2 linked regions of the Callithrix jacchus genome follow. The protein of the gene in region 1 interacts with the protein of each later gene in a pairwise test. Links are inferred from orthologs where the notes say so. Each region holds a gene or a part of one and is shown on either strand. Other genes may lie near its edges. The genes, in order: ALDOA and ENO3.

What was found.
Region 2: the proteins of ALDOA (region 1) and ENO3 interact in a two-hybrid assay, tested with the Homo sapiens proteins (2 studies listed by BioGRID and IntAct, with this or other methods). The link is inferred for Callithrix jacchus from reciprocal best matches to the Homo sapiens genes ALDOA and ENO3.

The regions. Positions count from the first base shown.
Region 1 is NC_133513.1:29,453,681-29,457,922, forward strand, and holds the start of ALDOA (fructose-bisphosphate aldolase A), read right to left. Parts: upstream 2,830-4,242; 5' UTR 2,753-2,829; intron 2,522-2,752; exon of another isoform or gene 2,476-2,521; intron 2,350-2,475; exon of another isoform or gene 408-2,349; 5' UTR 395-407; coding exon 254-394; exon of another isoform or gene 59-253; coding exon 1-58. Other genes in the region: uncharacterized protein LOC118146229, read right to left, coding at 3,131-3,513. UniProt on the Homo sapiens protein: Catalyzes the reversible conversion of beta-D-fructose 1,6-bisphosphate (FBP) into two triose phosphate and plays a key role in glycolysis and gluconeogenesis. In addition, may also function as scaffolding protein.
Region 2 is NC_133506.1:106,523,685-106,527,376, forward strand, and holds the end of ENO3 (beta-enolase), read left to right. Parts: intron 1-1,069; coding exon 1,070-1,292; intron 1,293-1,402; coding exon 1,403-1,600; intron 1,601-1,806; coding exon 1,807-2,008; intron 2,009-2,436; coding exon 2,437-2,545; intron 2,546-2,695; coding exon 2,696-2,754; intron 2,755-2,841; coding exon 2,842-2,911; 3' UTR 2,912-2,983; downstream 2,984-3,692. UniProt on the Homo sapiens protein: Glycolytic enzyme that catalyzes the conversion of 2-phosphoglycerate to phosphoenolpyruvate. Appears to have a function in striated muscle development and regeneration.

The sequences.
Region 1 (4,242 bases):
TCTGCTCCGGGGTCAGCGCTGGATATTGATAGGGCATGGTGCTGGTGGTAGCAAGTTCCTGGGTACAGGAAACAGGGAGAGGATTGGTTAGCTGGGCCTTCTCATGATCTCCCAATAAGCAGGGCCCCTCGCCTGGAGGTCAGGGCAAATGTCCCCTACCTCCCCTGCCCCACACCCAGTAGGCCCTGGGGGCACCTCTGGTTCCCAGCTCTCCCATACGCCCGACTTCCCTATGCTAGGCCTGCCCCTGTACCTTTCCTAACTCTGTCTGGTGCTGGGTGTTGCCCAGCTGAGGGTGGAGTTGCTCACTGGCAACTGGGGGAAAGGAAAAGGCCATAGCCATGGATAGGTGGGTCATGTTGAAGCTGGACCCTTCTGGCTTGCGCCTTGCCATGGGGCCACCTTGCCTGAAAACAAAACCGAACCGGAGTATTTTAGAATGTAAAGGTCGTGAATCGAGCAGAGGGCCCAACACCCTCGTGGGAAAGGGCCCAGATAAGGAAAAGGTCTGTGCCTCAAGCCACACAGCAACCCCGGAGCCAGATCTGAGATTAACCTAGCTCTCCTGACTGCCACTGGGGCGTTCCTTCCAATCCACCCAAGATCCCAGGGCTGGCCTGGGCTCCAACCCTTCAAGGACATCCCAAGGTCAGGGTTTTCCCCACAAGGGAGGGGGCGGGTGGTAGGAAAGGGGTATTAGGAGAAAGGTAAGAGAGCAAGGAGAAGCTCAGGCAAGGGCCTAACAAGTCCTAGCCTGAGGCGAGGAGAGGAAAGCGGTAATCTTTGCCGTGGTCACTTCCTACGGGCGGAGGGGCAAGAGCCCCATCCCTTTCCAAGAAAAATGTCCTGTCGCTTCCCAAGGCTGTAGCTGTTCCAGGCTCAGAATCAAGGTCGCCCGATAAGGAAAGACGGAAAGTGTTAGCCGGGCATCAAGCGCCACCAAGGGGTTTTCCCTCCTCGAGAGGGGCGCCGAGTTCCGCAGGCCAGGAACCAACCTCCCGCTTGCGAGAACCCTGGGGGTGTACACGGGCCTGCCCTCACCCCTCACTGTCGCTTAGGATCCCCACCGAGACTAAGGGGCCCTAATCCTTTGCCACAGGGGTCCCTGCAACAAAAGGGGAGGAGAATGGTCCTCCATCTCGTCTGGCTTCCTCCCCCGCCATGACTCAGCGCGTGCAGCGGCTGCATTGCGCAGTTAGGTGACCTCAGGGTGGAGGGGCCGAGGAGCCTGAATGTGGCCAGTAGTGGGGAGACGCTGGCATGGGGTGAGGGGGGGCTCCACGCGGACGCCCAACCCGCCACTGCCCTCAAGATCCTTCTCCACGGTCCCTGGTCCCCGCACGTGAAGAGGAGCGCTCACCTGGTACAGGAGAGGGGCGAGTGTGCGGGATCTGGCGGCAGAGGACGGCGGGCTGGCGAGTGGACTCTGGGAGCGAATGCCGCACTCGTCACTAGGACCCCTTCTGCGGCGCGTTCCGAGAGGAACGCAGCCGAACCAGCCTCGGAGGGGGCGGTGCAATGGGCGGGCAGGAGGAAGGCGGCGCTCGGCCTTTTAAAGGCACCACTCCGCCCTCCGCCGAGCTTTTTCCTCTGCAGGGAGCGGGAGGCGTCCAATTGCAAGCGAGGGAGTGGGCGACGGGCCGCCCCCAAGAGGCGCAGCCCAGAGGCCGCGCTAGGTAGAGGACGGGCGGTGAGAACACGACTCCTCCCCCGCCCCCCTCGGACGTGACTCGGGCCACATCCCGCGGGTCGCCAGGGCCCTCCCCTCCGCTCCTTCTCCCCCTCCTGGCGCGCTCTTGGGCACCGTGACTCAGCCAGAATATCAGCACCGGAGGAGTGGGGGACGGGAAGGTGGGAGATGCAGATGGAAGAGTCGGAAAAGGAGGAGGCTGGGCTGGGCCTCCCAGGCCCAGCCCGCGGCCCGGGGCAGCTCCAGTTTCCAGCCTGCGCGGCTGCGGCGCGTGTCACCACCGGGTCGCAAGTCGGCCTGCCTCGCCTGCGGCCTGGGCCGTGAAAGGCGCGGAGCCGATCCCCCGTCACCCGTCACTAGCCCAGGCGTAAGGGAGGCGGAGGAAAGGGCGGCGAGAGAATACGCGGAAGCGCGACAGGGCGGTGGGGCTGGCGCGGCACGAAGGCTAGGCCTCCGCTGTGCGGGCTCCCAGCAGGCGGGGCGGGCTGGATCGCGCATGCGCACGTTCTCTCCACTCGGGCGGTCGTAGCCAGGTGGACACCCTGCGCCGCCATGTACCGGCCGCTGCTCGGCCTCGGGCATGCAGGGCCACAGTCCCTGCCAAACGTCTTCCTTGGACCTGACTTCCTTCTCCAGAATAAAATCCATCCCCGAGCTGATCTGCCTCAGATGCTTTCTGAGCCCCCAACTCCTACCGTCCAAGTCTCCACTCCTCACCCGGACTCACCAAGAGCCTGTCGGCCCAACCCCACCCCTACCCCAGCCCAGTCCTGCGAGGGGCCCACCTGCGGCGAGACTGAAGAAGCCGGCAGAGCCTGGTCAGCAGCGAGTGAGCCAGGGGTGCCCGGGCTGGGTTATAAGGCGGCTCCTGCCCGCCCGGCACCAGTGTCCCCGACCTTCTCCGATGACCTCTGCCCTTTTCCCGCCACGGATCCTCTGGCAGGAACCTATATTTAGGGAAACCTGAAGCCCCTGACATTCACACCAGCGTGGGGCCCGGCCTCGGGGAAGGGGGAGGAAGGCTTGTCTGCCGTATTGACGAGGGAGCCCCTGCCCACTCACCGGTGCTTCAAAGGAAATGTCTTCCTTGGAAATCCAGACAGAGGCCCTTGGTTGTCAAGAGAAATAAATCTCTGGCCAGGGATCTGTCGAAGGGAAAGGGGTAAGGGGACTCGGATCACGTGGCCTCCCTGGCTCCTTCTCTAATCTCCCTCCTCCCGACTCCCTGCAGTGACGGTGGCTGTAGTGATTCTCTGGAGCCTTGGGTTTTTTTTTTTTTTAAAGGAGAGCAGATACTGGCACTACACTCACCTCCTAAAATAACAGTCCATGGATGGAGTGTGGTTGTGGCACCCCTGAGTACTCGGTACTCAAGGCCCAGGCTCCTCCTATAACACTGTGTGGTGAGCAGCGCCACTCCCCTGCCCACCTTAAAATCGTTCACTTGGGTAGGAGAAGGGGAGCCAGGGCACCTGCTGGAGCACTAGCCCCTCTCTGGCCATCCAGAGGAGGTGCCATGCAGCCGGCCAAGAGTCCTGCCCTGCAGGGAGCCAGGCCCTGCACAGCCACTTCCAGTTCCCAGGCTTGGGTGCTGGGCAGGCCATTTGTGGTTCCAGCAGCCTGGAGAAAAGTGTCCTGAGGCCCCTCAAGGAGGAGGGCACATGGGCCCTGGGGGCTGGCCGCTCCCCAGAGGGCAGGACACTGGATCCTCATCGGAGCTTGATCTCGAAGCAGAGACAGTTGAGGCTCTGGCAGTCGGGAAGCTGGCATGTACAGGCACAGTCGCAGAGTGGGCAGCAGCGGGGGCAGTGAGGTGCCCAGTCCTGAGGGATGAGAGAGAGGGGTATGAGGGAAGTGGGATGGGGCCAAGTCTGTTGCTCTCTAAGGAGAGAAGGGAACAGAGAGGCCTGGGAAGTCCCACTTGCCCAGTAGAACAGAGGGTACGGTCCATCATTCCCAGGAACAGCAATTGCCTGTGCTGTTGAAAAATCAGCAGTGCGTCCTTGTTCTAAACAACTGAGCTCAGGAGCTAGAAGCAATAATTCGGGGGTTCTCCCTTTCCCATTTTATGGGTGAGGAGACTGAGAGCACGGGACCAGAGAGCAACTGGCCCTGGGTCCCGTGCTAGAATTTGGGCCTCCTGAAGTCCAGCTGAAAAGATGGTTCTGCTACAGTCCCGTGGCCTGTGCAGCTGAGTCAGTAGACAGAGAAAGCACACGTTTTTCTGTCCATCATGAAAATGACTTGTGGGCTTTATGGACTCCTTCGCATGAGACCAAACTAGAGTCTCATTCGCCATTTTCGAGCTTCTACTCTGTGCAAGGCACAGACAACATTCATGAATGATTTTAAAAATCTTTCTAGGTTTCTTTGAAATTGGCAATTCACATATTTTTAATTTTTTTTTTTTTTTTTTGAAACAGGGTCTCACTCTCTTGCCCAGGCTGGAGCCCAGTGGTGCAATCTTAGCTCACTGCAGCCTGTGCCTCCTGGTTCAAGTAATTCTTCTGCCTCAGCCTCCCAAGCAGCTGGAACTACAGGTGTAAGCCACC
Region 2 (3,692 bases), on another chromosome or scaffold:
ATACGCCACCATGCCCAGCTAATTTTTGTGTTTTCAGTATAGATGGGGTTTCACCATGTTGGCCAGGATGGTCTTGATCTCTTGACCTTGTGATCCTCCGCCTCAGCCTCCCAAAGTGCTGGGATGACAGGTGTGCGCCACCACACCCAGTCCTTGAGTTCCTTCTAAAACCAGTGCCCTCTTACTGAAGGGAAACTTTTTGAATTTAATCTCACTAATAATGTTACCATTTCTTGTTAGTTACTAGGAAGATTGCCTGAGAGCATGGACTCTAGAGATAGATTGCTGAGTTTGAATCCTGCCTCTGCCTGTTATTAGTTGTATGGTTTTAGGCAAGTTCTTTAAGTGCTCTATGTGTCCCTTTCTCCATCTGTAAAATGGGGGTTAATAATGATACCAATGAATATAGGTGTTTTGAGAATGAAATGAGCTAAAATGTCAAGTACTTATTGCCTGGCATGTAGTAAATGCTATAAAAATGTTAGCTATTATATACCAGGCACATGCTAAGAACTTTACATTCAGTTTCTCTAATTTTCAGCAAAAGATCCTACGGGGAAGTTGGTGCTATCCCCATTTTATAGAAATGAGGAAAGAGAGGCCGGGTGCGGTGGCTCACACCTGTAATCCCAGCACTTTGGAAGACTTGGCAGGTGGATCACGGTCAGGAGTTTTGAGACCATCCTGGCCAACACAGTGAAATCCTGTCTCTACTAAAAATATAAAAATTAGCTGGGCATGGTGGTGCACACCTGTAGTCACAGCTACTCAGGAGGCGGAGGCGGGAGAATCTCTCAAACCCAGGAGGCAGAGCTTGTGGTGAGCGGAGATAGTGCCACTGAACTCCAGCCTGGGCAACAGAGCAAGACTCTGTCTCAAGAAAAAAAAAGAAAAGAAAAGAAAAAGAAAAAAATGAAATGAGGAAAGAGGCTCATGAGCAAAATTACTCATCCTAGACCACTGAGCCAATAAGTAGTGAAGCCAGGTTTCCACCCCAACACCCCTGCCCCTATCCCTTCTTGAGCCCTTATGCCCCAGCTCAGGTCCAGGCACCCTCTCCCCATCTCAGGCTTTCAACGTGATCAACGGGGGCTCCCATGCTGGAAACAAGCTGGCCATGCAGGAGTTCATGATTCTGCCTGTGGGAGCCAGCTCCTTCAAGGAAGCCATGCGCATTGGTGCTGAGGTCTACCACCACCTCAAGGGGGTCATCAAGGCCAAGTATGGGAAGGATGCCACCAATGTGGGTGATGAAGGTGGCTTCGCACCCAACATCCTGGAGAACAATGAGGGTCAGTGTTGAGCACCCCGGGGGGCAGACCCCCCGGATCTCCACACGGGCAGGGGAGGCTGCAGACAAGGGGGCACTGGAGTCTCAGGTCCTGTCTTGCTCCTCTCCCAGCCCTAGAGCTGCTGAAGACAGCCATCCAGGCAGCTGGTTATCCAGACAAGGTGGTGATCGGCATGGATGTGGCAGCGTCTGAGTTCTATCGCAATGGGAAGTACGATCTTGACTTCAAGTCACCTGATGATCCCGCACGGCACATCACTGGGGAGAAACTTGGAGAGCTGTATAAGAGCTTCATCAAGAACTACCCTGGTGAGGCTCTCAGGTGCCCTAGTGTCCCTGCCCGAGTCCCATGCAGCTCTCTACCATACTGATGTCAGTGACCTGCTTTACCATCCACTTGGATCCTTCCCATTTTTAGCCCCACTGACATCCCCATTTAAGCTCTTCTGCCGTGTCACCCCTGCGTGAGGCCCCTTCTGACCTCTAGCCCTGTATCTGCTACCAACCCCCACCAGTGGTCTCCATCGAGGACCCCTTTGACCAGGATGACTGGGCCACTTGGACCTCGTTCCTCTCGGGAGTGAACATCCAGATTGTGGGGGATGACCTGACAGTCACCAACCCCAAGAGGATTGCCCAGGCCGTTGAGAAGAAGGCCTGCAACTGTCTGCTGCTGAAGGTCAACCAGATTGGCTCGGTGACTGAATCGATCCAGGCGTGAGTGCCTCCTGACCCTGAGGCTCACCGTAGCCTCCCTCTGCCCCAGCTCTGTTCAGTTCAGCTACAGTCTCACTCACTAATTCCAAGTTTACCCTTCTTCTGGCACCTGACCTACCCACACCTTGACATCAAGGCTTTGACTAATCCTTGGCCTGACTCCAAGTGCTTTGCCACTGTAGCCCTGACATGATCCTCACCCCCACCCCACACTATTCCTCTCTGATTCTGCTGTTCTTCTCAGCAGCATCTCAAGAGCCCAAAATCAAGATGAGAAGTCTTTTCCTCTCCTGTTTCTCAACGAACTTAGTCACTGCCCTCCCTGCAGAGTGCCTGCTACTCAAAACAGAAGGGAGAGGCCCCACCCAACCCCTGCTCTCCCACTGAGGAGGTTCCAGAAGTCCTCATCAAATGTCCTCCCCATCCAGGTGCAAACTTGCTCAGTCTAACGGCTGGGGAGTGATGGTGAGCCACCGCTCTGGGGAGACTGAGGACACATTCATTGCTGACCTTGTGGTGGGACTCTGCACAGGACAGGTACTTGTAGCTTCTCTCTATTGAGTGTCTGACCAAGTTTTCTTGGGGTCCCTGGCCTCCTCCCACTAAGGTGAATGCTCCCTTGGGGCCGGGTCCAACTCCCTCCTCTCTAACCTCACCCAACCCTCCAAATCCTTCTTCCCTCATCAGATCAAGACTGGCGCCCCCTGTCGCTCGGAGCGTCTGGCCAAATACAACCAACTCATGAGGTACAGTGGGAGCATTGGGCCTGGGCATTGGGGTGCTGAAGGCTGTTGGGTTGGAAGGCAGCAGCCCTGACTTTGCCTGCATTCTAGGATTGAGGAGGCTCTTGGGGACAAGGCTATATTTGCTGGACGAAAGTTCCGCAACCCGAAGGCCAAGTGAGAACCAGGATTCCACTGGACAGCCCCAGGTCTTCCAGACCTGCTTCCTGAAATAAACACTGGTGCCAACCAAGACAGCTGTGTGCTTCTTTGTGGGAGGGAGGAGAGGGATACTGGTTTCTGGGCTGAGCTAGGAAAGACAGGAGGTGGAGAGAGAGGGGCAGGGAGGGAAGGCAAATAGATGTGTAACCTGCTAAGACAAAAAGGAGATGAGGGACTCAGAGAGGAGCCTGGTGGATCTAGAACAACAGAGGCATTTACATTTCTGAAGGAGGTAGCTATATGTTAAATGAAACTGCAGAGCTGCCAGTGGAGCCGGCATGGTGGCGCACACCTGGAGTCCCAGCCACTAGGGAGGTTGAGGTGAGAGCTTGAGCCCAGAAGGTCAAGGCTGCAGTGCGCCATGTTCACACCACTGCACTCCAGCTTGGGCTGCAGAGCAAGACCTTGTCTCAAAGGAACAAAAAAATGAAAACAAACAAAAAACTAAAGAGTTGCAGATGGAATAAGAAACCAGCCCTAGGCTGGGTGCGGTGGCTCACGCCTGTAATCCCAGCACTTTGGAAGGCTGAGGCAGGTGAATCACGAGGTCAGGAGTTGAAAACCAGCCTCACCAACATGGTAAAACCCTGTCTCTACTAAAAATACAAAAATTAGCTGGGCGTGGTGGCGGATGCCTGTAATCCTAGCTACTCAGGAGGCTGAGGCAGAATCATTTGAACCCAGGAAGCAGAGGTTGCAGTGAGCTGAGATTGTGCCACTGCACTCCAGCCTGGGTGACA